Linked DNA regions of Sus scrofa. The protein of the gene in region 5 binds, or shares a complex with, the protein of the main gene of each other region. Links are inferred from orthologs where the notes say so. Each region holds a gene or a part of one and is shown on either strand. Other genes may lie near its edges.

Evidence for each region.
Region 1: PIGP (region 5) and PIGA share a complex: the UniProt entries of both Homo sapiens proteins name them as parts of the glycosylphosphatidylinositol-N-acetylglucosaminyltransferase (GPI-GnT) complex. The link is inferred for Sus scrofa from reciprocal best matches to the Homo sapiens genes PIGP and PIGA.
Region 2: PIGP (region 5) and PIGC share a complex: the UniProt entries of both Homo sapiens proteins name them as parts of the glycosylphosphatidylinositol-N-acetylglucosaminyltransferase (GPI-GnT) complex. The link is inferred for Sus scrofa from reciprocal best matches to the Homo sapiens genes PIGP and PIGC.
Region 3: PIGP (region 5) and PIGH share a complex: the UniProt entries of both Homo sapiens proteins name them as parts of the glycosylphosphatidylinositol-N-acetylglucosaminyltransferase (GPI-GnT) complex. The link is inferred for Sus scrofa from reciprocal best matches to the Homo sapiens genes PIGP and PIGH.
Region 4: PIGP (region 5) and PIGQ share a complex: the UniProt entries of both Homo sapiens proteins name them as parts of the glycosylphosphatidylinositol-N-acetylglucosaminyltransferase (GPI-GnT) complex. The link is inferred for Sus scrofa from reciprocal best matches to the Homo sapiens genes PIGP and PIGQ.
Region 6: PIGP (region 5) and DPM2 share a complex: the UniProt entries of both Homo sapiens proteins name them as parts of the glycosylphosphatidylinositol-N-acetylglucosaminyltransferase (GPI-GnT) complex. The link is inferred for Sus scrofa from reciprocal best matches to the Homo sapiens genes PIGP and DPM2.
Region 7: PIGP (region 5) and PIGY share a complex: the UniProt entries of both Homo sapiens proteins name them as parts of the glycosylphosphatidylinositol-N-acetylglucosaminyltransferase (GPI-GnT) complex. The link is inferred for Sus scrofa from reciprocal best matches to the Homo sapiens genes PIGP and PIGY.

Annotation. Positions count from the first base shown.
Region 1 is NC_010461.5:11,883,689-11,887,666, forward strand, and holds the start of PIGA (phosphatidylinositol N-acetylglucosaminyltransferase subunit A), read right to left. Parts: upstream 2,801-3,978; 5' UTR 2,718-2,800; coding exon of another isoform or gene 2,705-2,717; intron 2,699-2,704; exon of another isoform or gene 2,593-2,698; intron 2,587-2,592; exon of another isoform or gene 2,333-2,586; intron 2,327-2,332; exon of another isoform or gene 1,238-2,326; intron 96-1,237; 5' UTR 34-95; coding exon 1-33. UniProt on the Homo sapiens protein: Catalytic subunit of the glycosylphosphatidylinositol-N-acetylglucosaminyltransferase (GPI-GnT) complex that catalyzes the transfer of N-acetylglucosamine from UDP-N-acetylglucosamine to phosphatidylinositol and participates in the first step of GPI biosynthesis.
Region 2 is NC_010451.4:114,824,585-114,827,289, reverse strand, and holds PIGC (phosphatidylinositol N-acetylglucosaminyltransferase subunit C), read left to right. Parts: upstream 1-1,311; coding exon 1,312-2,205; downstream 2,206-2,705. UniProt on the Homo sapiens protein: Part of the glycosylphosphatidylinositol-N-acetylglucosaminyltransferase (GPI-GnT) complex that catalyzes the transfer of N-acetylglucosamine from UDP-N-acetylglucosamine to phosphatidylinositol and participates in the first step of GPI biosynthesis.
Region 3 is NC_010449.5:91,306,349-91,309,848, forward strand, and holds part of PIGH (phosphatidylinositol N-acetylglucosaminyltransferase subunit H), read right to left. Parts: intron 2,501-3,500; coding exon of another isoform or gene 2,489-2,500; exon of another isoform or gene 2,448-2,488; intron 1,513-2,447; coding exon 1,372-1,512; 3' UTR 1,323-1,371; coding exon of another isoform or gene 1,230-1,322; 3' UTR 1-1,229. UniProt on the Homo sapiens protein: Part of the glycosylphosphatidylinositol-N-acetylglucosaminyltransferase (GPI-GnT) complex that catalyzes the transfer of N-acetylglucosamine from UDP-N-acetylglucosamine to phosphatidylinositol and participates in the first step of GPI biosynthesis.
Region 4 is NC_010445.4:41,173,566-41,177,494, forward strand, and holds the start of PIGQ (phosphatidylinositol N-acetylglucosaminyltransferase subunit Q), read right to left. Parts: upstream 2,801-3,929; 5' UTR 2,759-2,800; coding exon 2,622-2,758; intron 1-2,621. UniProt on the Homo sapiens protein: Part of the glycosylphosphatidylinositol-N-acetylglucosaminyltransferase (GPI-GnT) complex that catalyzes the transfer of N-acetylglucosamine from UDP-N-acetylglucosamine to phosphatidylinositol and participates in the first step of GPI biosynthesis.
Region 5 is NC_010455.5:200,692,631-200,696,882, reverse strand, and holds the start of PIGP (phosphatidylinositol N-acetylglucosaminyltransferase subunit P), read left to right. Parts: upstream 1-1,452; 5' UTR 1,453-1,559; intron 1,560-1,572; exon of another isoform or gene 1,573-1,832; intron 1,833-1,834; exon of another isoform or gene 1,835-1,879; intron 1,880-2,028; 5' UTR 2,029-2,050; coding exon 2,051-2,132; intron 2,133-4,252. UniProt on the Homo sapiens protein: Part of the glycosylphosphatidylinositol-N-acetylglucosaminyltransferase (GPI-GnT) complex that catalyzes the transfer of N-acetylglucosamine from UDP-N-acetylglucosamine to phosphatidylinositol and participates in the first step of GPI biosynthesis.
Region 6 is NC_010443.5:268,420,758-268,425,039, forward strand, and holds the start of DPM2 (dolichol phosphate-mannose biosynthesis regulatory protein), read right to left. Parts: upstream 2,801-4,282; 5' UTR 2,753-2,800; coding exon 2,750-2,752; intron 2,457-2,749; coding exon 2,367-2,456; intron 1,096-2,366; coding exon 993-1,095; intron 219-992; coding exon 160-218; 3' UTR 1-159. UniProt on the Homo sapiens protein: Regulates the biosynthesis of dolichol phosphate-mannose. Regulatory subunit of the dolichol-phosphate mannose (DPM) synthase complex; essential for the ER localization and stable expression of DPM1.
Region 7 is NC_010450.4:130,526,198-130,530,370, reverse strand, and holds PIGY (phosphatidylinositol N-acetylglucosaminyltransferase subunit Y), read right to left. Parts: upstream 2,801-4,173; 5' UTR 2,729-2,800; coding exon of another isoform or gene 2,526-2,728; intron 1,428-2,525; coding exon of another isoform or gene 1,286-1,427; 5' UTR 1,197-1,285; coding exon 981-1,196; 3' UTR 388-980; downstream 1-387. UniProt on the Homo sapiens protein: Part of the glycosylphosphatidylinositol-N-acetylglucosaminyltransferase (GPI-GnT) complex that catalyzes the transfer of N-acetylglucosamine from UDP-N-acetylglucosamine to phosphatidylinositol and participates in the first step of GPI biosynthesis.

The DNA.
Region 1 (3,978 bases), on a different chromosome or scaffold from region 5:
CTGGCTTGGCCCACCTCCTCCACTACAGGCCATGCTGAGATGGTTTAGGCATTAGTCCTTGGAGGGACCCAGTTAAGATATGTGTCCTCTAATACCTGAAAGAGAGAATAAACGGGATCTCAGCTCAGAGACAAAATACAGTCCATACTCCAAATGCAGATATAAATATGGTTTTCACGTTACTATAAACCTGTTTTCCCCCTGGAAATACAAAGCATATAATGAATTTATGAATTCAACAACCTTTGCTTGCTTAGCATTTACTATGGGCCATATAACAAAACTAGCTTCTGCAATGTCCTGGTATCTTTTTTTTTTTTTTTTTGTCTCTTGTCTTCATAGGGCCGCACCCACGGCACATGGAGGTTCCCAGGCTAGGGGTCGAATTGGAGCTGTAGCCGAGGGTCTATACCAGAACCATGGCAATGCCAGATCCCAGCCGCGTCTGCGACCTCCATCACAGCTCAGCTCATGGCAAGGCGGGGTCCTTAACCCACTTAGAGAGGCCAGGGATCAAACCCACAACCTCATGGTTCCTAGCTGGATTCGTTTCCGCTGTGCCATGACAGGAACTCCCCTTACATCTTAATTTTGCTCTAAAAACACTGCTACAGGATTTTAAATAATGTTTGTTACACCACATTATATAATAATTTGCCATGCTAACAAACCAGTACATTCTAATAATTAAATACATAGCTCTTTACAGGAAAAGTTTGTGAAGCTCATTCTAGAGCTTAGCCACCGACTCAATGAATCTCAAGTTCTGCTAGTATAAATTCTGTGGCTTATACTAAGATATACCTGGAGTTAGAACTTTCTTGTTCTTTTTTTTTTTTTAATGGCTGCACCCATGGTATATAGAAGTTCTCTGGTCAGGGACTGAATATGAGCCGTGGCTGGACCTATGCGGAATCCTTTAACCCACTAGGCCGGGCCTGGATGGAACCCGCACCTGCATAGCCACCCAAGCCACAGAAGTTGGATTCTTAATCCACTGTGCCACAGCATGAACGCCTAGAACGGTCTTTTAGAGCAGCTTTTTTTTTTTTTTTTTTTTTGTCTTTTTAGGGCCGCACACACGACACATGGATGTTCCCAGGCTTGGGGGCGAATCGGAGCTGCAGCTGCTGGCCACATCCACAGCCACGTGGGATCCGAGCTGCCTTTACGACCTACACCACAGCTCACAGCAACACTGGATCCTTAACCCACTGAGCAAGGTCAGGGATCAAACCTGTGTCCTCATGGATGCTAGGCAGATTCGTTTCCACTGAGCCGTGACGGGAACTCCAGAGAGCAGCTTTTTAAAGTGTCACCTGCAGCGCCGCCGCAGACCTCCACATTCTCCTTCCTTATTCAAGAATGATGACATCAAGCCGCTCCCTCCATTTTCTTAACCTTTGTTATTTTGGTTTTGCCTCCAGGAGCGTCCCTCCCTTCCGTCTGGAATCTGATCTAGAGATGCAAAGGGAGGGACCTGGGGCCATTTTCTCCATCTAAAGTAGATGTTCAGCTCAGGGGTTCCCAAGATCATCAGCACAAAATGGACGCTCAATATTCAGTATGATTATCAATGCTTAGCTGTTTAAAGCTAAAGAGAGGCTTGGAAAGTGAGTGAAACTCTTCCTCAGCTTTACACGTTGAGATTTCCATGCTTCCAGAAACTCAACTATTCAATGGGAAGCCATCCTTAGAACCTGAGTTTCCGATTTCACCACAAACTCAAAAAAAGCAAATTAACAGTCATCTTTACTTTAAAAATAGTCTTAGAAACACTCCATTATGTGTTTGTTGACCTGAATACTAATTGAGATTCACTACTACCAAATCATGACACTCTTCAAGTCTGCACTTTTAAGTCGTCCTCTGTGGTTTGTCACCTAATCCCGAATTTCCAGTTCCATTTAATTTTAAAAGATGAGCGATAATGAAAGCAGTTAATAAAGAACCAAATGAAATCATTTAAAGTTCTGTCATTAATCCGCAATATCTTGTGAGGAAATCAGCCTAACATCACGGCGTAAAAGCCCAACAAACGTCACAGTCACAGAACCTTAAGGTTTTAAAGCTGAAGAGAGGCTTAAAGAGCTACTGGATAGCTCTTATTTTACAAATGAGAAGTCACACAAGTTGAGCGATTTGTCCGAGGTCCCCACCCGGCCACTTAAGCGGCAAATGCGAGATGGTCATAAATACGGCCACGGCCACCGAGTCCCTGAACAGTCCTGAGGAGCAGAGAGTCCTGAGGAGCCTTAAACCTGGTGGAGCCTCGGAATCTAGGCGAAGGGGCTCTCACCCACCCCCAGGGAACCGTCCCGGCTTCACTCACTGAGCGGTTGCTGGGCAGCGCCAGGGCCAAAGAAGGGACGAAACGACTCAGTCAGCGATCCCGTCAGAGTCAGGCGGGGTCTCGCCAGGCCCCAAGAGGAAAAGGGCCAGAGAGTGGGCAAAAGGTTGAGGCCGGCGGTCCCGGAGCCGTTCGCTCTGCCCGCGTTAACCGTCGCAGAACCGGCTACAGCGCGGCCGCCGAAGCGCACCCTCATCCCCACTCGACTCCGAAGACCCTCGGTCCCCACTTCCGAGCCTTACACCGGGTCGGCTTCGCCCACTCCATCGTGGGCCACGCTCTCCTGGGGGCAGTTCAGTCCCAGCTAAAAGAGGCAGACAGTGGCTAGCCCGGGGAGGTCAAACGCGCACTTACCGGCTAGTCCCATGGCCGCCAGTGTCCGGACCTCCCGCGGCTGCAGCCGGAGTCCCACCCCGCTGCCCCGAAGCACCAATCCGGGGCGTCCGCGCCCGAGCGCCGCGCCCCCGAGAGGACCAATCACGAAGAGGCGCTGGGGTCACGTGCAGGAGAGACGCTCAGTTCCCCACCCGTCAGCGCGGGTTGCAACGTCAGCGCGCGCGTGCACATATCGCCACGATGTTCCGGAAGACTAGTTTTCTTTCGATGGAAAGCAGTAATCCTCTGTTTAACCTTTTATATGAATTCTTAATGTTGAGATTTTCTCAAAATTGGCCTTGGCCTCTTGCTAAACAAGGAGCCAGCCCACCAGGACCCTTCGACGGAGTAAAACCGGCACTCCCAGCGTGCTTCACAGGACCCTTCCGCGCTCCTGGGAGTTGTAGTCCCGTCGCCTCCGGAGGCGAATCCGAACTTAGAAAACTCATTCCCAGGATGCACCGCACTTCTAAACGCGGATCTTGCGGACGGGTGGGTTTGGTGCCTTGGTTGCCTAGTTACAGCGTCTCATTTTGGAAACCTGTTCTCTGTGGCTTCCAATTCAGACTTTTGGCTGAGAAGGCTACAGAAAGTCGGAGTCGTGGTGGCGTTTTGTTATTATCTGTGCCACAGCCGATTCCCCAGGTTCTTACCCCTCTGGTAGAATTGCCTGAGGTAATAAAGATACACAAATGTCAGGTCAATTTTTTAAATAATTTGAATATCAGATAAATAATTTTTTATGTTATGTCCCTAGTATCGGGGACTTTACTAAAAAATTATTCGTCGTTTATCTGAAATTCAAATTTAACTGGGCATCCTGTATTTTTTCTGGCAACTCTCCACTCTGGAGAAAAAATCTGAGGTCTGGCCTGAAGTATCAACTCCTGTTCAAACTGGTTCTACTGGCTATCATGGTGCTTGGCCAAGAGGGTAATGAATAAATGGGAGTGGTCTGGTGGTTATCCACCCCCTCACAGTTGGTACACGGAGTTCCCCGGTCAAGCAAATGCCTTTCTGAGCACCATCAACCACAGCTTCCAGCACCCATTTTAAGCCTGTAGAAAGCCTATTCATCCCTGAAAATTCCAGCTCCTTTGTGATGCCTTCCCCAAACCTCCAGAGAGAATTAAATCCTCCCTCTTTTATATTTTGATAGTACTTTGGCCATATGCTAGTAAAGCATTCATCAAGAGATGATTCAACTTGTTTGCCTGGCTGCTGCACCGCCACCCACACCCCCACTACCCCAC
Region 2 (2,705 bases), on a different chromosome or scaffold from region 5:
CCTCCTCCGCCATCCCCCGCAGGGCCGAGGCTGGGTGAGGGGTGGCGGCGGGCGGGGTACACCCTCGGGGACACCCTCCCCTTCCCCACCCCCTCCCCAGCCCTGTCCCCGACCCAGCGGGCGGGCGTTGCCCTTTTCAGCGCCTGGGACCCTCCAGCCCCCTGCGGCGGCCGTGAGATGCCGGGGCTGGGGTCCCTGCTGCGGTGAGGGAGCCTCCCAGGGCGTCTGGTTTGTGAAGCAAAACCTATCATGGTCTCCATGGAAGACGTAAGGTCGGGCCATAAGAATTTTCTTCGCAGACCTGCTGGATGATCTTGGTATTTCTGACTCTTAGTTTTGCAGTAGTGGAAAGGAGATCATTATCTCCGATCCTTCCTAGAGTTTCGCGTTAAATAAGTAGAATGATAACTCTTTTTAAGGCTGCTAAACTCGGTCAAGGGATTAAGAATCTCCAGTCCTTGGCTTTAGTTAAATAAACCTTAGAGCTTGTACCTTTATTATTATGAGGTTTTTGTTTTTAGACCGGTAACTTTTTTCAGTAATAGATGCCTCTGAGAACCCAGTAAAAGCTTTGGATCCTAGCCTTAGAAATCTGCATAAATTACAACTACAAATATGCATTGACTGGGAGGGTTGTTGAAGGGTCTGAAGCCCATCCATAGACCTCAGGGATATGTGAACCCCTGAGTTAAGAACTAGTTTAGAGGGAGACATGTGAAGCCTTTGGGAAAGAAGTTTCCTTTGAATCTGGCTCCACTAATTACCACTGTTAACTTGGGCTAAAGTTACCTAAGCACTTTGAATTGCTGCTTTATTAGTTGGGTTAATCTCCAGGATTGTGGAGATTAAATGAAAGAAGCTACGTAAGGCTCTTAGTACATAGTATGCACTCTTGACAAATGGTAGCTGCTAAGGGATTATAATGTAAAATCTGAAATGAAATTTTAATGTCCTCAGTTACATGATGGCCACCATATATATTTTGTTCAGACTTCTAATAAGCTTATGATAACCCAATAAGTTGGTTTGATTTTAACTCAGTCCTACCCTTGACCTTTCACAACATTCATAGATTCACAGTCTCTCTTTTTCTAGGAACTTGGCTATATTGTCCTGCCTCAGAGAACAAACTCATCTACTAAAGGTCTAGCCTGGGTTCTGCCTTTGAAAGCAAGGGAAGGTTGGTACCATATCAACCACATTCAACATGAAATTTCCAGAGAGGTCTTATTTCAAAACTTTATAAAGAACAAGAACCACATGGACTTCTACAACGGAGATTGAACTAGCCTGAGTTTGAGCAAAAGGATAATGTGTTCACAGCCTGTAACTAACACCAAAGAGGCCAAGTGGCAGAAGGTCTTGTATGAGCGACAGCCCTTTCCTGATAACTATGTGGACCGAAGGTTCCTGGAAGAGCTCCGGAAAAACATCTATGCCCGGAAATACCAGTATTGGGCTGTAGTATTTGAGTCCAGTGTGGTGATCCAGCAGCTATGCAGTGTCTGTGTTTTTGTGGTTATCTGGTGGTATATGGATGAGGGTCTTCTGGCACCCCACTGGCTTTTCGGGACTGGCCTGGCCTCTTCATTGATTGGCTATGTTTTGTTTGATCTCATTGATGGAGGTGAAGGACGGAAGAAGAGTGGGCGGACCCGGTGGGCTGACTTGAAGAGTGCCCTAGTTTTCATTACTTTCACATACGGCTTTTCACCGGTGCTGAAGACCCTGACAGAGTCTGTCAGCACTGACACCATCTATGCCATGTCAGTCTTCATGCTATTGGGCCACCTCATCTTCTTTGACTATGGTGCCAATGCTGCCATTGTATCCAGCACACTGTCCTTGAACATGGCCATCTTTGCTTCTGTCTGCCTTGCCTCACGCCTGCCCCGGTCCCTACATGCCTTCATCATGGTGACATTTGCCATCCAGATTTTTGCCCTGTGGCCCATGTTACAGAAAAAACTGAAGGCATGTACTCCCTGCAGTTATGTGGGAGTCACACTGCTTTTTGCATTTTCAGCCTTGGGAGGCCTCCTGTCCATTAGTGTTGTGGGAGCCATACTCTTTGCCCTTCTGCTGGTTTCCATCTCATGTCTCTGTCCTTTCTACCTCATTCGCTTGCAGCTGTTTAAAGAGAACATTCATGGGCCTTGGGATGAGGCTGAAATCAAAGAAGACTTGTCCAGGTTCCTCAGCTGAGTTTGGTGACTTCCATTCTGTTACTAAGACAAACTGATAGACTAGCCCTCCAACTAGTATAAGATTCGAAGGCAGAATTCCATTCTGGAAGCAGCATGCTGATGTGGGTGGGAGATCAGAAATCAAAAGAAAAAGTTAACCAAAGGCTTGGGTGGTGAAGGTGCTTATCCTTTCTGTTATTTTGTGGCGGGAAAAGCTTTGTGGGGCCCTCTTCAATTATTGCCTCTCATTCAATGTAACAAATGAAGTGATGTGGTTTCTATCTATTAAAAAAATTAACAACACATCCATCAAGTTGTCTCACAATTTTTCTGTAAGCAGAAGACAGACAAAAGGGACACAAAGAATATGTGTGTGGATTTCCTGTCGTGGCTCAGTGGAAACGAATCTGACTAATATCCATGAGGACGCAGATTCGACCCCTGGCCTTGCTCAGTGGGTTAAGAATCTGGCGTTGCCATGAGCTGTGGTATAGGTCACAGATGAGGCTCGGATCTGGC
Region 3 (3,500 bases), on a different chromosome or scaffold from region 5:
TCAACAGGCATGACGAAAAAAGCAGCACATCAGAGTGTCGGCCTCTTTTAAACAAACTTGACTTTGCCAGGCTGGCAATTTTATAGCTGTCTCCCATTTCTGTTCCTGCCCTTCCCCCAGGATTTGGGATTTAGCTGAGACATTTCTACCTCAACAGGTGACATGTCCCATGTCCCCGCAGGCTCCTGAATAACCCTTCCAGGGCTGGTATAAAAGGCAGAAATTACAGCTCTAGTTTTGTAAGATCTTGAGTGGCTCTAAAGTAAATAAGAATATTATCACCTACCCAGGAATTTTTAAAAAAATCCCAAAGAAAAAGTAAGCAAGACTGGAGCTGTGTTCATACTGAATTTGGGGATCCAGCTATTCCCCCGCCCCATCTTCTTCCCAGCCCTTCAGGAATCCTGCCCTAATTCGTTAATTTTACACAGAAGAAACTGCCATGTAAACAGAGGCTTCTGTAGTCTGGCCTTTAACATATCTGGAAACCAGAGTCAAATTTCTGTCTGGCTTTTTGTCTCATCCCTCTTGGCAAAAGAAGTTTTTGAAACCATAGACAATGCTGAGTAACGAGAGTATTAATGTGCTTAACCCCCATGACTGAAATGCCATGATCAAGTCTGTCAATAAAAAGCAGCTGCCTGAACCAAGCAATTCCTTGTATGTTTTGGAAAGAGATCTGCTTATTAAGAGAATCATCATAAGCTAACCCTGTATGGGCGCTAGATGGGCAGAGGCTCATCTTTTGTAGGACATTTCCTCCTACCAACCAGTACCTGAAGGGCTTTTTTTTCCCTCCCTCTCAACTTTTATACAGGGGTACAGTGCAATTGGAAATTACCTTTCTCAAGAGATCTGATAATCGATTTCCCATTTTCTTGCTCCACAAATTGCAACAAAAAGTAAACTTGAATGTGCTCAGGAATTTCACAAAGTGCTCTTTGTCAGTGTTACTTCTGACGTATGGTTTCGAGGTCTCCCCTCAGTTGGTAAAGTACACAAAACCTGACAGGGGAAACCCTAAAACATACATAAATATTTTCCGCTGCATCGCACGGAAAATAAGTTAGATTTCCAGTCAGCTGCTCTATGGCTCTGGGATCCGCCGCATCCAGACTGGTTACTGGGCCTGCATCCACTTGATGGTTTAGAATCCGGAAAATAAACCAGTCGCTGTGGCTGAGGAGTCACCTCCCCTGGGAGATAATACTGATCACGAATGCTGGGACTCACGGGCTGGTTGACGTGGATTTCTGGTGTGCCAAGATCTCCTGGCAGCTCCTGTATACTTCAATCAAGCAGTCCAGCCGGGGCTTGGCACTCTGAATTCCAAGGGGGAGAAGTGCAGAGTCAGGATGAACGTCAGAGTGCTCAGGGCTGCTGCATCTGCAGTCTCTCACCCACGACAAGGGGGTCCAAACGGCACGGGTGTGGCCTCAGAGGCAGAAGTTCAGGCCTCACAGCACCTCGCTGGGAGGAGTCCCTTTGTAGGCCCACAGCCCAGCCTGTGAACTGCAGAGCAGGAGCTCAACAGTTTTATTTACTTTTTAAACTATTTTTTTAGGGCCGCACCCATGGCATATGGAGGTTCCCAGGCTACGGGTCGAACTGGAGCTACAGCTGCTGGTCTACACCACAGCCTCAGCAATGGGGGATCCGAGCCACATTTGCGACCTAGACCACAGCTCATGGCAATGCCGGATCCTTAACCCACTGAGCGAGGCCAGGCATCAAACCCTTGACCTCATGGTTCCTAGTCGGATTTGTTGCTGCTGCACCCCGAAGGGAACTCCAACAGTTTTAAATCTGTCTAAATTTCATGATCTCCATCTAAGAGCAAGCAAGAGGAATAACAAGGATGACCCTCACAGGAAGCGAAACAGTTCTCAGAGTCAAGAAGGGCAGTTTAATATGTAACTATTGAGGAGTTCCCTTGTGGTGCAGTGGGTTAAGGATCCAGTGCTATCACTGCTGTGGCACAGGTTCAATCCCTGGCCCAGGAAATTTCACATGCCACGAGTGCGACCAAAAAAAAAAAAAAGAGAAAAGTAAATATCAAAAATTATTTTACATAATAAAATGTAATACAAATTAAAAACCACAGAATGGGAAAAAAATACATGGAAAGCAAATTTAATAAAAGTTTGCTACCCCAAACATGTGAATCGTTACAACACATAATCAGTATCTAGATTCTACTTGACTAATAGAGGAGATGGACAGTTTAAAACAAGAAAATATAGATAATACAAGGAAATATGAAAAGTCTCTTTGCACTGACAGAGTTAGAAATACAGGAGTTCCTATTGTGGCTCAGCAGAAAAGAACCCAACTAGCATCCAAGAAGATGTGGGTTTGATCCCTGGCCCCACTCAGTGGGTTAAGGATCCAACATTGTGGTGAGCTTGCATCTGGCGTTGCTGTGGCTGTGGTGTAGGCTGGCAGCTGCGGCTCCGATTTGACCCCTAGCCTGGAACTTGGATATACCTCACCTGCGGCCCTTAAAAAAAAAAAAAAAAAGGATACAAATTTAATAACTCTAAATTCCTTTACCTACACACTAAACTAAAAAATAGCTAAACCCACTGTTAGTCAAGACTATAGAAAAGCAAGTACAAATTCCCAAAATACGGTAAAGGTGTCCAGTCTCTGGAGCCAACTCTCAAACACTGTCAAAAATCTTTGAAACTTCATAAGCTTTAGTAAAATAATTTTGAACTATAATGCAAAAGGCTTTTAGCTTAGCTGCCTTAAATCCTTTGTGAAAAAAGAAAGGTGGAGAGACAGTTTACTGCATACATAAATATTTTATATATCTATAAAATATTATAATCATGTTTGTATAAGTGTTTTTTTTTTTTTTGTAAGAAAAAACCTGGACATGATTTCAAAAGTGAACAAAAGAGTGACTAAATAAACTGATATTTGATATGATACAATTATTTAAAATAATCAGTATAATGGCCTCTGTGGCTGCATGAGAATACGCAGATTTGAAAAGGAACACACCAAACAGTGTAGAACAGTAGGTGTAGATCAGTAGCATCTCTGTAAAATCACATACTGCCTGACTGACAGAGACAAAGTGGCTGAATGACGATTTTTTTTTTTTTTTTTTTTTTGGCTTTTTAGGGCCGCACTGGCGGCATATGGTGGTTCCCAGGCCAGGGGTTGAATCAGAGCTACAGTACTGGCCTACACCACAGCCACAGCAACGCAGGATTGGGGCCCTGTCTGACCTACACAGCTCAAGGCAATGCTGGATCCTTAACCCATTGAGCGAAGCTGAGGATTGGACCCTCATCCTCATGGATACTAGTCGGATTCGTTTCTGCTGTGCCACAGTGGGAAATCCTGAATGATGAATTATAGGCAGAAGTTGCTTTAGGTTTATTTTTATCTCTAAAATTTGTATACATTTATAACATTTCTGAAAGCCTTTATTTGCCTCAGAAGGGAACTTTGTTTTTTTTTGTTTTGTTTTTTTTTTTGTCTTTTTG
Region 4 (3,929 bases), on a different chromosome or scaffold from region 5:
AGCTGCCGCCGCCGCCGCCACTGTGCCGCAAGCACCACGGGCTGGCTGGCAGCGCCCGACCTGTGGGCCCTGGCCCACATGTGGCCCAGTCGGCCCTGACAGACACATCCACTGGCCGCTGGGCCCACAGGTCGGGGTGACCCAGCTTTGGGTCTGGTCACAAGGCTGGTGGGGAGGCCCGGCTGTCCGTCTTCGGCCCAGGCTGCTCCCACCCCACCCTGAGGCAGGGGCACACGTCCCCCTTCAGAGCCGAGCAAGCTGGGGGGGGGCACTGCACAGAGCTGGGCACAAGGGTGCAATTTTTGTTTTTAAGGACCTGATGACAGTTCTTTGCATACACATAGAAAAACGTACGATCTCATGAACAACTAATGTAAATTAAAAATCTAACAAACCTTGATTTTCTAAGTTAGCGAGAACAAAGACGAAAAATTAAATGGCTGCTGAGCTGAAGGAAATGAGGCAGGGCACCGGCACTGGCAGCTGGCTCTGGCACAGGCGGGCCCAGAAGATGCCTGGGGGCAGGCCTGATGCCCCAGGGAGCCCGCACCCTCCCCCGGGGAGCCTCAGCGCCCAGGGCACAGGCCAGCTGCCTAGGGTTTTCTCTACGACCACCAGACCACTGGAGCCTCCAGCACTCAGCTCTGCCCCCCCTCCCTGGAGCCCCGCCCTCCTCTAGGACCCACTCCCCTGACCAAGGAGGGGTCTAGAAGTTCTCCCACCAGGGGAACAGCAGAGGGGACGCCAGCCTTCCCAGCCTTACAGGACCTCCAACTAGCCTTGGGGAACAGGGGACAGAGTAGGACACACATGTTGAGGACATGCCTTTCCTGAGGGTTAGAGCAGTCTGGGAGGGGCAACAGGTGCAGCTGCTTTCCTCCCGCCAGGTAGTCAGGGCACAGCTGAAGGGGGAGGCCTCTCCCACCTGTGGGTTCTGAATGGAAAGGGTCCCCTGAGTCAACCAGCAGCCAGGCTTCCAAATGCCCCTCTGCCCAGAGACCAGAGAGGGCCAGCCACGCGAGTGTCTCCAGGAGAAAGTCTCTGTGGCCATCAGCAAGGACCAGCTGGCCTTCCTGACCCTTCTGAGGGGCACTGTGAGGACAGAGCCGTTCTGCCTTAGGGTCCTGGCACATCTGGTTGGGTGACCACCTGGGGGACCAGCCAGCCTGGTCCAAGCCTCTCAGCACCAGCCCATCGGACACACCAGCTCAGCCAAATGACAGCATCACACCCTGCCTGGGACTCCTTTCACAGGACCTAAGGAAAACTGCCCGTAGCCGATGTCAGAAACTGAACACAACTGGTGGGAGGGAGTTCCCTGGGGTCTAGCGGTGAAGACCTGGAGCTTTCACTGCTGCGGCCTGGGTTCTGTTCCCGGCCTGGGAACTGAGATCACATCAAGCTGCTGCAGGCCACGGGCAAAAGAGCGAGCAGGGGCTCTGGGGGAAGTGGGCTACACACTGAGTTCACTTTCAGAAAATTCATTGAGCTGTACCTGTAGGTGCACTTTCTTTGTGTGTTTTATGCTTCATCTACAAACTTTTCCCAAAAAAAGCTCCTCTTGTCTAGGGAAGAGCAGAGAGCAAAGGGTGGTGTTCCCGTCCGTGGGGCAGAGAGAGCGCTCTTCTCTTAAATCATGGGGCAAGCTTCCATCCCCACCCCGCCTCAGCCTCTGGGCGGGACCAGCACAAAGAAGGCTCTCAGATCAGACCGCCAGGAAAAGATGAAAGAGCAGGCAATCGATAGCAGAGGTGCAGACGGGAGGGAGCAGGCAGCAACCCCGCGCCTCGAACATCTTTAAAGACTGTGCACAAGCCTGGGAAAGCTGCCTCTGTTAAGAATGACGGTCTGTCCTCTGGGACCCGGCCCGTTCCAGATCCGTTGGGGAAGGCCAATGCGGGCATGCCCGGCGCCTGGCAAGCTCAACTCAGTAGCCTACCTCATGAGGCTGAAGGCCTCCCACCTCTGCGCGAGTGGATCCAGGGCAAAAGCCCAGTTACAACCAGCCAGGGACGTCTCTAGCCCTCCCCTGTGGAGACTCGCGCTCCTCAAGAGCTCACAAGATCCGTTCTTACTCTATGTGTTTGTGTTTAGAACACAACAAGCGTTCAGTAAACAGTGCTTTTCTTCTCTCATTTCAGAAGAAGAGACACGAATCTAGGGCTCTGGGTTTTGCCCTTTACTGCAGTCAGGGACAGCTGTAAAGTGCTGACAGCCGGTTCCAATGACCCTGAATGCCCTTCCAAAGAGTCCACAGCGGGAACCAGGTTGGGCCAGAGGGACCCGGCTGGCCTCCCTTCACCCCACAGGGCCGGGACCAGATTCCTCGCCAGGGCACCCACGCCGCCCCGCCGCAAACGCGGGGCTTGGCGGACGGGCCCCAGGAGGACCCGGCGGGGCCTCACCGCCCTCCCAAGTCTCAAGCCCGCCCTGGCCGGCAGCGTCCCTATTTTACAAATGAGGAAACAGAAGCTCCGAGAAGCAGGAGGCCAGCGCGGCTCCGGAGACCCTCGGGCTCCCGGGTCTGTCGGGCGGCGCGGCGGGAGTCGGGACCACAGGCCGGCGGGGGCAGCTCCCCAAGGTCGCGCCGCAGGACGCTGGCCCGCCCCCTGAGTGCTCACCGGCTGCTCCCCGGGGCCGCCCCCTCGGGCGGCAGGGTCGGGATGGGGTTGGGGACAACGACGGGTGGGCCCGGGCGGACGACGGCGCTCACGGCCCCCAGCCCCGCCGCGGCCGTGCCGCGGGACAGGAGCCCCATTTCCGCCCGCTCCCGGCGTTGCCGCGCTACGGTCCGTCCCCAAATGTGCCCGGGCTGCCCGCCGGCCTCACGCACAAGCGTTCCCCGCATGCAACGTTCCGGACCCTCGAGCCAGTGTGGCCAGAATGACTCCCTTGTTGCCATAGCGTCCCCGTCTGCCCGACCCACGCCGCGCACCTTGGTCCTCCTCACGCTCTGTGCACAAAGCCCTTGTCCCACCTCCAGCCTACCCACAGTGTCCCCAACACCCCTGCCTTCCAGTCATCCACCTTGCCGCAGCCACCAAACCTCTCTCCCATCCCGAGTTTCCTCGTCTGGGGACCCATTAGACCTGACAAATGAGGATCCCCGCCCTCTCCTTGCCCCCCACCATCCAGGTGAAAGGACCCCAAGTCCTGGGTGGGATCTCCCGGCTCCCCTCTCCCAGCATCCTGGTTCCTGCAGGGGCCACGTGAGCTTGGAGGGCCAGCCCAGAGGCTGAAGCCATCCGATCTGATGGCCCCTCCTGCTCCAGGGAAAAATACCCCCAACACCAGCAGCAGCAACTAATGTTTACTGAGAACCGGCAACAGAACTTTCCACACTGACCCGCTAACCCACCGCCACCTCCGCAGAGCCGGAACATATAGGCGGGACCTTGTCAGGCAATGGCCCAAACCACAGACCCCTAAACCACAGTCCTTGTGAGAGGCAGAAGCATCCCTCACCAGCCGCCCGGGCAGGACTAGGCACTGTCCCCTCCCCCTGAAGACCCCCTCACTGGAACTGGGAGCAAGGCTGGGCCCCAGACTCAGAGTAACCCCGCACCTGCCCGCCCCTCCGGGCCTCCTGTTCCTGCTGTTTTTCAGCAGCAGGAGTCTGTCCTCACAAGAACTGTCCCCATGCCCTTGCAGCCTCGTTTGCGGAGGAGGAAACGACGGCTCAGACAGCCTCCTGTGGGAGAAGACGCCCAGGAGCCTGGAGGTTCACAGCTCAGCCACGTGACAGCCCAGGGCGCCTCCAGGGCAGCCCCTCTTCTGCCCCCCCTTACCTCGGCTGAGGCCAGAGAAGCTGCAGGAGGCTCAGAACCTGGGGCGCCTCTGAAAATGGGGGACTGTGAGGGGCCGCGCCCCTTCCCAGACTGCCCTGATGAGCCCAGCCCAGCCACACCCTCCCCGCCGGCTTCTGTCTG
Region 5 (4,252 bases):
ACGCCATAAACACTACATGAACCGTTAAGTATTATCAAGAAAGCCCAGGATCGGCTAGAATGTATTTGCCCAGTTGTCGTGTACATATGTTTTGGAAGGAGTCTGCAATTGAAGGGCTTTGAGCGTCCAGGGCTCCTCTGAATCAAGGTACGTCACACTGGCACCTGCCAATATTCACCTACGCCTTGGCTCCATTTTTGGCCCTCGGCCTCCTTATTCCGTCCCCAAAAGGCTGGCTTGACTGGCCCTACTTGACATCTTAAACACTCTGGAACAGCTGGCCAGACCCGCTGCGGTCCCCCCTCCTTATTAGCGTTGGGGGGAGGTAGGATGCTCCGAAAAGGCGAGGGGAGGAGAGAGGGTTGGGTTTTCTCCCCCCCCAATTCCCCTCCACGGACTCGGCAGCCATTCTCACGAAAACAGGTGGCGCAGATAGAAAGAACACAAAACACAGAGGACAGGGCGTGCAAGAACGTTCACGAACACTCGCGAACGAACACCCGAAAACAGATCACGCACTTGACAGGTCCAGGGGCAACAGGCGCGCGGGGACACACGAGGACGCATCCCCCAGCGGACGATGCTGCAGCTGGGGTCACGACTGCAGGAGGCACGGCCACGCGCGCGTGGGGCGCGCACCCCCCCGGAGAGGGGCAGTGACACAAAAGGGGGGGGCCACCCACACTCCCGGGGGCGCCCACGCTGTCGACGAGAAAAACCTGCGCAGACACAAAGCGGCCGAGAGGGGACCCACGGGCGCGTGCCCACGCGCTCGGGCCGGTGCACGCCCCCGCACAGAGCGGACCGAGGGTGTGCAAGCGGCCGGGAGTGCGCACACAAAGGGGCTACTCCCACCCCCGCACACCCCCAGAGGTGACCACATTTGCAGAAAAGGGACACGAGACAAAGGGGACACACCCGCTAGGACCTACAAAGGCTGCCACACACACACCCCCAACGCACCGGCACTCAACCCACGCACACTGCGGGCACCAGAGCCAACGACGCGAGGCGACGCGCACACACCCACACTCACCACACACCCACGGAGGGGGTGTGGAGGGCCCCTCTCCCCGGGCATCTCCGCTGCAGCGCGACAAGGTGACACATCCGGGAGCCCTGCCGCGCGCCAGGTGTGCACTCACCGGGGCCGGCAGCCCGCGAGCCTCGGACGCCGGCCGCCGCCGCCGCCGCCTCGGGCCCTCCACGTCAGCCAGCTGGCGGCGGGGAGCGGGCGGCTGTGCAGGCGGCAGACGCGTCACGTGGGCTGCAACGCACATGCGCCGTCGCACCGCCCGGCCCCCACCTCCGCGGCGACGAGCCGAGCGATCCCGCCGGCCCCCGCGCCCGCGCGCTTCTGCCCAACGAGGGTCGCGGTGCGCCTGCGCGCGGGCGGGGGTTGCCGTGGTGACTCGGCCTTTCTCGGGTTTTCTGTGCTCTCGCACCCTGAGGCTCCCTGGTCAGCGCCTGCGCAACGGACTCAGTGCGGAGGTGGCGGAACTGCTGGGAGTGGCTGCGTGGGCCCAAGGTCTAGGGCCACCCGCGCCTCTCATCCCCAGGTTGAAATGAGAACCATAACCCCGCGAGAGGGCAGGGCACGTTCCTGGGCACCCGAAGCCCCGGCCTGGAGAGGCGGGGCACGCCTCCTATCCTGCCCTGCCTTTCCCTTCCCTTTTCGCACCAAGGCGAAGCCTGCAGAGCTGGAGCGGAATCAGTCCCTCCCCTGCTCCCCCGCTTCCCCGATCCTCCACTGCAGGCTATGCGCGCTCTGATGCGTGTGCTTGTGTGCGCGTGCACGTGCGGTTTGGGGGCTGGTTGCGCGTGCAGGCGAGGTATGGGTGCTCGTGTACACCACTGTGCGGGCAGTCTTGTGTTGGAGGTGTGTGTGCGCAGGGTGGTTGTTTGCAGTGGTTTAGGCTGGGAAGTAAACTGCAGAGGCTGCGCCCGTAGCAAAGCGATGAGGTTATAATAGACCAATGGTGAAGAGGAGTGAATCACTGACAGATGATTGTGTTTTTTTCCCCACAGATTTCCAAAAGCCACAGGGAAAATGGTGGAAAATTCACCGTCGCCATTGCCAGAAAGAGCGATTTATGGCTTTGTTCTTTTCTTAAGCTCCCAATTTGGCTTCAGTAAGTACTTTCCTGATGGATGGCCAGGTCCATTCTCTGGAGTTCAAGGACAAGGAAATGATTGCGTTTGTTTATAGAATATGCACACGTGAACTGTGACTCTTTCTACCTTTGTCTCTTCTTGAGAAAACCTGAAGGGAGCTCTTGTTTGTTCAGAGTGTTCTATATGCCAGACATTAGCGTAAAATATTTAATCTCAAATATTTATGTAGCACCAGACAGGATTGCCAGGTGAATGAAACCTGGTCCCTGCCCTTCAGGAGGTGACGGTTTTGTAGACAAGACATGAGTAAATCTGCAGTTAACACTGTGTTAAGTGCTGTGGGGACCCAGCAGAGAGACGAGACATTAAACTAGAAAATCAGAGTTAGTTTTCTCCCAGGGAATTTGTCTTCAGCATTAAGAAGGAAGAAGTGGGAAGGCCTTGAGCAAAGGCATGGTGGGGCTTGGAAGTAAGTAATGGTTTGGCCCTTGTGGGAGCTAGAGAGCGACAGGAATCAGGTTAAAGAAGGCAGCTGTGCTTTACATTCCCAGATCTCAGGAGTTCCTGATGTGGCGCAGCGGAAAGGAATCTGACTAGTATCCATGAAGATTTGGGTTAGATCCCTGACCTTGCTCAGTGGGTCAGGAATCCGGTGTTGCCATGAGCTGTGGTGGAGGTCGAAGACAAAGCTCTGATTCAACCCCTAGCCTGGGAACTTCCATATACCACGGATGCAGCCCTAAAAAGCAAAATAAAATAAACATTCCCGTATCTCAGTCCGTCCCCATAAGGATCCAAGCCTCGTCTGTGACGACAGCTCACCGCTTTTGACTGGATCCTGACCCACTGAGCGAGGCCAGGGATCAAACCCGAATCTTCATGGATACTAGTCGGATTCGATTCCAGTGCAGCACAACGGGAACTCCAACAGTGTTCTTCAGGTTTATTTTGGTTAGCAAAAAGAGATACTAATGTAGTCTTTCACAAACTCGAAATGGCTTAAAGCAAACTTGTGAAAAACAGGAGATACTTGTGCTTATTAAATGTTAGCTGCTGCTGCTGTTATCAGCGTCATCGTTTTTATAAATCCATGTTCTAAGAGTGTTTGAAAGATTAGAAGCTGTAAAATAGGTGACTTTAAGACCTAAATCCAATAGTACCCACAACCAGCAATTAATTCAGCAAATTTTTCTTGCATACTTACCATGTGCCAGGCACTGTTCCAGTCAAGGGAGGAGCAAAACAGCCCAAAATTTTCTGCTTTCATAGACTTTTCATTCTGCTGAGGGAAGAAAGCCAGTGGACAGATTAAATAAGTAAAACATGGAGTTCCCAACATGGCTCATCAGAAGCGAATCTGACTAGCATCCATAAGGATGCAGGCTCAATCCCTGGCCCCGTTCAGTGCATTAAGGATCTGGCATTGCCAGGAGCTGTGGTGTGGGCCGAAAATGCGGCGTGGGGCCCGCGGCTCACACCACAGCTACAGCTCCAGTTCCACCCCTAGCCTGGGAACCTCCATATGCTGTGGGTGCAGCCCTCAAAAGACAAAAAAAGACCAAAAAACATGCAGAATGTCAGATGGTGATGGAATAAAGAAGGATAAGGCGTGGGAGGAAATAAGGCGTTGCTGTTGTAAATACAGCAGTCAGGAAATGCCTCGGTCAGATGACTTTTAAGCACAAACATGAAAAGTGAGAGTCAGTCATGTGGAGAAAGAGCCTCCCAGACAGAGACTAGCCAGTGGTTTCAGGGAACAGGTAGAGGTCGGTGAGGTTGAAACCTGCAGCAGTGAGGCAGAAAGTAATAGGACAGAGGAGGTCAGAGGCCAGTACCCAGCAGCTGTGATGAAACTAGGTGGTGGGTATGGGGGCGGCGATGTTACATGACTATCTCAGTGCATTGTCAGAGTTCCCGTCATGGCTCAGTGGGTCGAGAACCTGACCAGTATGAGGATGGAGGTGAGATCCCTGGCCTCACTCGGTGGGTTAAGGATCCGGCATCGCCATGAGCTGCAGTGTAGGTCACAGACATGGCCCACGTTGCTGGGGCTGTGGTGTAGGCCGGCAGCTGCAGCCCCTTTTTGACACCTTATGCTGCAGGTGTGGCCATTAAAAAAAAAAGCTGATTGTCTAAT
Region 6 (4,282 bases), on a different chromosome or scaffold from region 5:
GAGTCCTGAACAGCTCCGTCCCCCTTGGGCCGGGGGGGGCCTTCAGGGCAGCTGGGCTTGAGGGGGGCCTCAGGGCCTGGATGGGTCCTGTGGGCCCCCCGCCTGGGTCTGCCCTGGCGAAGAAACGGAAAGGGCCGCAGCCTTATATCGGCCAGGCCCTCACTGAGCCTTTTTGGTCACCTTCTGGCTCTTCAGCATCACGGAGGTGATGAACACTCCTGGAACACACGGGCCAGAAAGGCCAGTTAAGGTCCTGGCTCAGGGCTGCTGGGAGGCCGGAGCAGGACAGAGCATGACAGAGGGACCCGCAGGCGGGGCCAGGCACCGACCCAGCCACCCTCCAGGTTCCCCCGGTCATCTCCCAAGTGGCTCGCTAAGCCACACCCCCACCTATATTCATTCAACAAACATCAGCCGAGGGCTGACCACAGGCCACCTGCTGGATTTGTGTTTCCGATTTTACAGGGAATAAGATCCACCCAACCATCCATCGACTCAGCTAGTCAACCATCTGGCCACCTACCTCCCCAGCTGCCCACTCAGCACCTACCATCCACCTACCCCATCATCCAGACACCTGATTGCTGACTCACTCAAATGACTTTTTTGAGCACCAACTCAGTGCCACAGCATGTGCTGGGCACTGAGGACACAGTAATGATGAAGATACAGTCTTTGGCCTTAGGAAGCCCACACACTAAACCCTGGGAGTCAGAGGGGTGCAGGAATCAGAGGCCAAAGTGACAAGGGGGTGAGGGGTGATGGTGGTGGAAGGAGCAGGAAACAAGGAGACACCCCATTAGAGTCCAGTGAGCCTGAGGATCGAGAAGCCTGCAGCCCTGAGGGATGAACACGGAAACCCCAGGGGGTGAACTGAGGGCAAGGAGCCTCCAGCAGGTGTACCGCAGGGGCCAAAGTACAGCCGCATGTTCAGGTGTAGGAGAGGGTCATGGGGTCCCTCAGACACCCCGCCCAGGGTTGGGAGAACTTACCCACAAAGAGGAGCAGCAGGAGGCCGGCGGCCAGCGGGATAGCAACAGCATAGGCCCGGGGCAGGAAATACTTGTGGATGACATGCTGACTGTCAATGAATGGCTGGCACAAGGGCAGAGCTCCGGTGAGCATGCCTGGCTCTGCTGAGCGCCCCAAGCCCAAACATCCCACCTCCTCTGTCTCAGGGGCTGACCCCGTCAAAGCGCTGGGGCTGCATTTGCTTTTCTTTAAGATGATGGCATCTTGGGTGCTTTGGTTGGTTCCCTTCCTTCATTTTTCTACAAGTGGTATACTAGGTACTTCCCTGGTGCCTGCTCTAAGCTGCTGCTGGGGACCTGGCTTAAGTCCCCCACAGCTTAGCAGGGGCAAAGGGTACATGAGGAATCCCAATCTGGGCTCCAAGATCTTTTGTTTTTGTTTTTGTTTTGCTTTTTAGGGCTGCACCCTCGGCATATGGAGGTCCCCAGGCTAGTGGTGGAATCGCAGCTACAGCTGCCAGCCTACATTACAGCCACAGAAATGCGGGATTTGAGCCGCATCTGCAACCTACACCACTGCTCATGGCAATGCCGGATCCTTAACCCACTGAGCAAGGCCAGGGACTGAACCCGCAACCTCATGGTTCCTAGTTGGATTCGTTTCCACTGCGCCATGACGGGAACTCCACAAAAGTTTTCTTTACTAAGATTTTTCTCCCAAAGAACATCAAGTTCTGCAAGATTTTGCTTCCCAGAGTTCCTGTCGTGGCTCAGTGGTTAACGAATCCGACGAGGAACCATGAGGTTGTGGGTTCCATCCTTGGCCTTGCTCAGTGGGTTAAGGATCCGGCGTTGCCATGAGCTGTGGTATAGGTTGCAGATGCCGCTTGGATCCCACGTTGCTATGGCTCTGGTGTAGGCCGGCAGCTACAGCTCCGATTCGATCCCTAGCCTGGGAACCTCCACATGCCACGGGAGCGGCCCTAGAAAGGCAAAAAAAAAAAAAAAAAAAAAAAGATTTTGATTCCCAAACACACTGCACATTTTAACACATTTTTCCACCGGGGGGGGGGGGGATATCCCAAAGACCCTCACAAAACCCATTGGCACTTGTCATGCCCAGGAGCCCGCAGGATAACCAGAAGGACTAGAACTCCCATTAAAGGCACAGGACCTTACAGTGTAGTGGTTCAGGATTCTACCTTAGGTCTGAACCTTCTCCTTGAGCCTCGGCTTCGTCATCTATACAATGGGGACACCGCTAGTGTCGTCCTCCTACTGCTGCTCTGACGCTTTCATTACATGGGCAGGTAGGCCTGTCACGTGCTTAAATGTTAGGAGTTGGCTTCAAGATCTAGGGATAGGAGGTGAGAGCGGACGAGGAAGCACACATACCAACAGAATCACCCAGGTGGTGTAGTACGTGAAGATGATCAGGCTAACGGCGACGAGGCCGAGTCCCACCACCTGGTCTGTCCCTGTGGCCTGGAGAAAAGGGAAAGCTCAACTGAGGAAGTGACCCTCCATTTAGGTGCACTAACGGAGGGGGGAGTTGCCGCCTGATTACGCCCATTCACTCAGCAGGCGTATCCGACGTGGCTGACGAGGTTTCCATTTCCTGGCTTGAGACAGAGTGCAGGCTAAAGACCTACCACCCGTACGATGGGCCGGCGGGAGAGTGATCCCGGCTCCCGAGAGCTCAAGCCTCAGCTTCTGAGTAGACCTAGGACCCCACACCCAGACGCCCTCATTCCCAGGACTCCCAGCCCCAAGCTCACCATTTCCCCAGCGCTCCAGGCACCGGAGCCGTAAGCCACATCCGGTTCCGCATCCGGGCCCTCCTGGCCTTGGGCCGCGGGGCCCGTCGGGAGTCGTAGTCTTTAGGCAGTCCCAGGACTACGTCGCCCAAGACAGGCAGGCACCGCCTCCCCTTTGCATTTCGGGAAATGTAGTTTTCAAGAGTATTGTGGGCCGTGTTTCCGAATCACCCTGGGAAATGGGACCCAGTGGGGAACCCAGATAGGCTGCATTTATGGTCTCAGTCGGGTCGAACTCGACCCAGAAAAAAACCCCATCTCAATATCCGAGTCCCAAGGCCAGAGCGGGATGGGGTGGGGGGTCGAAAGTCCCATATTTGAGACGGGGAAAATGAGGCTCAGAAAGAGGCAAGCACTTGAAGATCACAATCCGAGTAGAGGGTGCAGCCGACTCCAGAACCCGAGGGCGCTACTTCCTGGTGTGGTGGCCCCAACTCTTCTGTTGAGGGTAGGGTGCAGACAAACGTTCACCGGATAATGCTGAGGGTGGAAGCCTTAACTAATTTTACTCCACAATCTCTTAATGATACTGCAGAAGCTATTCCTACCCTAAATATGGAACAAAAACAAATAAGAAAAGTAGTGCTGCAAAACCGAATGGCCTTAGACATACTCAGTGCAGGCCAAGGAGGTACCCGTGCTGTCATAAAATCTGAATGTTGTGCCTATATTCCTGATTATTCGCAGAACGTGTCTGATTCCCTGCGAGATCTCCGGCAGCAGATTCGTGAGATGTCTGATCCAGCTCCATCCAGCTTTTAGAGCTGCCCTCTGGAACGGGTTGACCTCCTCCTCCTCCTGATGGAAATATTTGTTCACCATAGTCATCATTGTGATCTTGAGCCTTTTATTTGGACCCTAGATAATTAATTGTAGGTCTTGCTTTGTTATGTCCTGATTAAAAGCTATCAACCTACAGATAGTGAAAGAAAGGGTACCCAAGGTAATGTATTGAAGCCCACTCAACCGACCGTGCCATGAGTGGAGACCTAACCACTTTCCCTAAGGACACCCCTTGTCAGCAGGAAGCAGTCAGAGCAGTCGGTCATTGTCCCCCCGCCTCCAAAGTTAAAGTCTCCAACTCTGGGGGCAGGGGGGGGGGGCACTGAGGCAGAATAGTCACTCAGGTAGTCAGTGTTAGGAGCTTGGGCTTCGATGCATTCTTGGATATGTCTATTGATTAACATTTGCGGCTAAAGGGCTCCAGGGAGTAACATCCCCACATGCCTTGTTTCCTCCAGGGAGTGTACCTACGCCCAGACGGACATTAATCTCAAAGCCCCCTGACTCAGGCTACGGGAAGAGAAGGGCAAAGACACCATGGGACTTACGGGACATTTCCACCCCTAAGACCCTATTGGACAAGGACTGAACTGGGCAAGGCCAATGGGAGAAAACCACAGCTTTCTGGACCTCACGTTGGTTACCCCCCCCCCATCTTTAAGGGATAAAAACCCCAATAGAGAGTGGGGCTCTTCTTGCCCTTCCCAGCTG
Region 7 (4,173 bases), on a different chromosome or scaffold from region 5:
GTTACATTGAGTTCTTAGGCTTCATGAGGGTAAATACTGAAACATTTGTTATACTTCTGAAACAGTTATTGTACTAATCAGTCTTATTGAAAATTCTGGAAAATCAATAACTATTAATGTGTCAAATGCTCATGCCCTTAGTATTGCTAAATAAATAGGTCTCTTATGGCAGAAAAATAAACTGAAATGTGGCTCAATAATCGCCCTAACTAAACTCAACAGGACACAATCAGCTATTTGCCAGTCTTTCAATTCCACCTCTCCTCACAGCACATACTTTCCTGGGAAATTCTGTTCTATTTTGGGTGCCTCTCTAAACATATAATTTCCTTGTCTTTGAATTATATTCTTGTGACCAAAAGGAAAAAAAAAAAAAAACCAAACACAAAACTGCAAATTGTTTTATGGAAAATGTCAATATCTTATTAATAATGTAAGCCATCTGATGCCAAAGAAATGAAGGCAATTTTACCAACTCAGAATTTTGGCAAGTACATGAAATTTACATTTTATTATAGTTTTATATCACACTAGTCCAAATGCATTTCTCTACAATTACTCCCCATAGCTCCTTGGAATTATCTCAGTCATCCTTCACATGTGGCTTTACCAAAGGCTTTGAACCTAAAAACAAACCTACAATTTCGAATTAGTAATTTTTAATTATGAATGGGATAAGAACAAGCCATCAGATGATGGCTGTGGGGGTGCTAATTTCCAACAAGCCACTTTGTTGAAATGTTTCTTCCGAGAGACCAGGTATAAATCAGAACCTTCAAAAAGCAGGGGAAGAACCAAAATACAAGAAAGAAGCCTCTTGCAGCTTAAACGTCACATAGTCCTAAACCTCTGACAAAGGCTAATAAGCAAAGCCTCTTTCCTGCAAAGTCTGGGTTTCCAGTATTTCCATGTGGCGGAGCTTTCGGACACACTCACTCAAGCATATCATGAGTTTAAATACCATCGTGGCTCCGGCTGCGTTAATTATGCCGGAAGAGTTTAATACCCATCCAAGTCCAGAGGTGGAAGAACACGTAAACGGGGATGGTGATGGGCAGGAGCAGACTGTAGAAGCACAGGCTGGCTGTGCTGGTGCAGCCCTGGGGGAAGCTCTCTTCCACGGAGGCGGAGTACAGCAGTCCTCCCAGAGAGACCAGGGGGACAAGGACAGTCAGCGTGGGAAGAGACAGAAACATTCTTCTCTCCCACCCACCACCCGCCACGCTGGCTTCTTCGAAGGTGGATGGTGTTTAGAAAATTTCCTTGTGTTGTGTTTACGTATGACCTAGTGCTGCTTCATTTCTTCTTGCTTCTTATTTTGATGTGTCATCCTAGCTGCCTGTGGTATCATATTAGGAATCCCGTCAATAATCGGATAGGCTATTCCCAGCTCTTCATTAATCAATTCATTTGTCGATGGTTCATATCTGAGGGGCAGAAGAAAACCAAAATGAATCCCGGAAGAGTCTGAGGTTCAATAAACAGTAACATTTATCCAATTCTTCACACAGTTAGAGCCAGAAAAGCAGAATTAGACTGTTTTTCATTCTAAAAGCAGCAGTAGCCAATTCAACCATTTCTCTTAGAAAAGGAATCTCTAATTGTTCCCATTTTAGTCTGTTTCTCTCATTTTCTTTTTCACGTTATTCTTAAGCTATGCCTTAGTGGAAAAAAAAAAAGAAAAGATCTCTCCTTTTCATCCAAATATTCCTTCATGACTCTTTTAAACCCTCAAACGATCCCAGCTAATTTACTACTGGAACAGACACGAGAGGAAAATTCAGCTTCTTCGCTTATCAGAACACCTGCCTCACTGATCCATGAGAAGGAAACCACGGAAGCAGCAATCTACCACCCAAAGGCAGCCACTGATGACACTGCGGTGTTTGCTAGTATTGTCCACGTTCAGGTTTAGCAGCCTGCAACTGCAGAGATGTTTATCCTAAAGAGTCTAGGTGAAAGGTTAAGAAGGCCTTTACAGAACCGGCTGGTCGAGAACTAAAAACCAAAGGGCCGCACACGTAGCTGATGCGCTTAAGATCCTACCCGGCGTTTTCGCAACAATCTGGAAGCTATCACATTTTTCATCGCCTTGCCTTAAAAATCTGAATGCCATGGATTAGTCTTCCGAATCCCGAGTTCATAACCCTGGCTGTACAGGAAGATCACTTGGGATCCTTTCAAGAAAATACGCAGTTGCTCTGGCTCGGCCCCAAGGCCTTCGGATTGAGCCCGGGTGGGGCGTTGCCTAGAGATCTGCGTTTTAAGAAGGATTCCCCCGAGATTCTAAAACGCTGCCGGCGGAGAAGCTGCCCGCCAGGATCCAGGCCTGCGAGTGGCCGGTTTGGTCCGGGAGGCCTGGGGCTCGGCTGGGGCCTCCTCCCGCCCTTCCCGCGGCGGAGCGAGTACCCGGGAAGCTGGCGGGCCCGGGTCCAAAACATGGCAGCGAAGAACACCCGGGTGACCTGAACGTCTCCCCGGCGACAGGGGGCCACCAGGGAAAAGCCGCAGCGGACGAATCTTACCTGAGCGGCTTCTTGGACAGCGGGCACACCAAGAACTCCAGCAGCGCCGGGTCGAAGGCGCGTGGCGGTTTCCCCTCCTTCTTGTTCTCGTCCGCGGACGGCCGCGAGCCCGAAGCGTGCAGGCACCTCCTGGCGACCGCGGACGGCGGCGCGCGTGTCCCTCGCAGCGCTAAGGCGAGCCGACCGCGCGCTCCGCTCAGCATGGTCTGGCCGCCGGCGCGCGGACCTCCGCACCCCCTGGGCCGCTCCGGCCGCTCCAGCCGATCCCGGGGAGTCCCGCCCAGGCGGCCAGGCCCCGCCCCCCGGTGCTCGGGAAACGCTGCCCCCGACGGCTGGAGGCCCGCTCTTTGGTTCCGAGGGCGCTCGGGACCCGACTGCTTTTCCCGCGGCACCGCTCGGTATGGAGAGCCCCGCCTGCAGCCTGGGCTTTCTGCGGCTCTTCCTGCCCGTTTGCAGGTTGCAGACAAAACCCACGCTCAAGTGGAGGCGTCCTGAGTTTTCACCAGGGCCTGTCGCAGGGCCTCCAGGAAGCCAGTGGCCGGACCTCAGAGTCACACAGTGATAGACTTGGACCTCCGTGGTTATCACCAAAAGGAGGTTTCCAACACACTGTCACACTGGGTATGTTAAAAAGCATTACTTGTTTTATGTGTATCTGTCAGTCTTTGCAGTACCACACTTCCTATAACCTTGTTTGGCTTTTTTTTTTTCTCCTTTCATTAAAAAAAATATAAGAACGGGAAAAGAATGGCTTAGTCCTCTTAAACTTAAGATGCCCAGTTTCTTACCCTGGGCTCAATGGCATAATAATAGCACCACTCATTTGCTTCTGTAAATGAGCTTGGAAACCGCAAGGAGTCTAAGTAACTGTGTCCTTTAATTAAGTGGGTGATCCACACAGTGGTTTTTTTCTCGCCCCGCATTTGCTTCTGACTCTCCCAGAAAATGATGCGGATTTGATCTCTTTCTTATAGTGTAGGAGGTAAGTGCCGGGGGTCCGGGCCTGACACCTTGGTCCCAGGTGCATCGTTTACTAGTTGTAGGGCTCCCGCAAATCTCCTAACTCCCCAGCTTTCTTTTCTTTTTCTTTTTTTTTTTTTTTTTTTTTTTTTTGTCTTTTTGCCATTTCTTGGGCCGCTCCCGCGGCATATGGAGGTTCCCGGGCTAGAGGTCGAATCGGAGCTGTAGCCGCCGGCCTACGCCAGAGCCACAGCCACGCGGGATCCGAGCCGCGTCTGCAACCTACACCACAGCTCACGGCAACGCCGGAACCTTGACCCACTGAGCAAGGGCAGGGACCAAACCCGCAACCTCATGGTTCCTAGTCGGATTCGTTAACCACTGCACCACGACGGGAACTCCCTCCCCAGCTTTCTTATCTGTGTAATTAGATTAATTATTGTTCCTACCTCATATAATTCCATCCTGGGGCTTAAAATGTGCTAATGAATGCAAAGAGTATTTAGAAAAATGCCTGTGGCAAATGAATGCTCAGTTAATGGCATATGTTGTCATTTTTATTTTCTCTATTCTTTGCAGCCCAGTATACTAGAAGATTCTTGGTTAGTCATCAAAATCCACCCCCTTTTTTTGTCCTTTTAGGGCCGCACCTGCAGCACATGAAAGTTCCCAAGCTAGATAGAGCTCA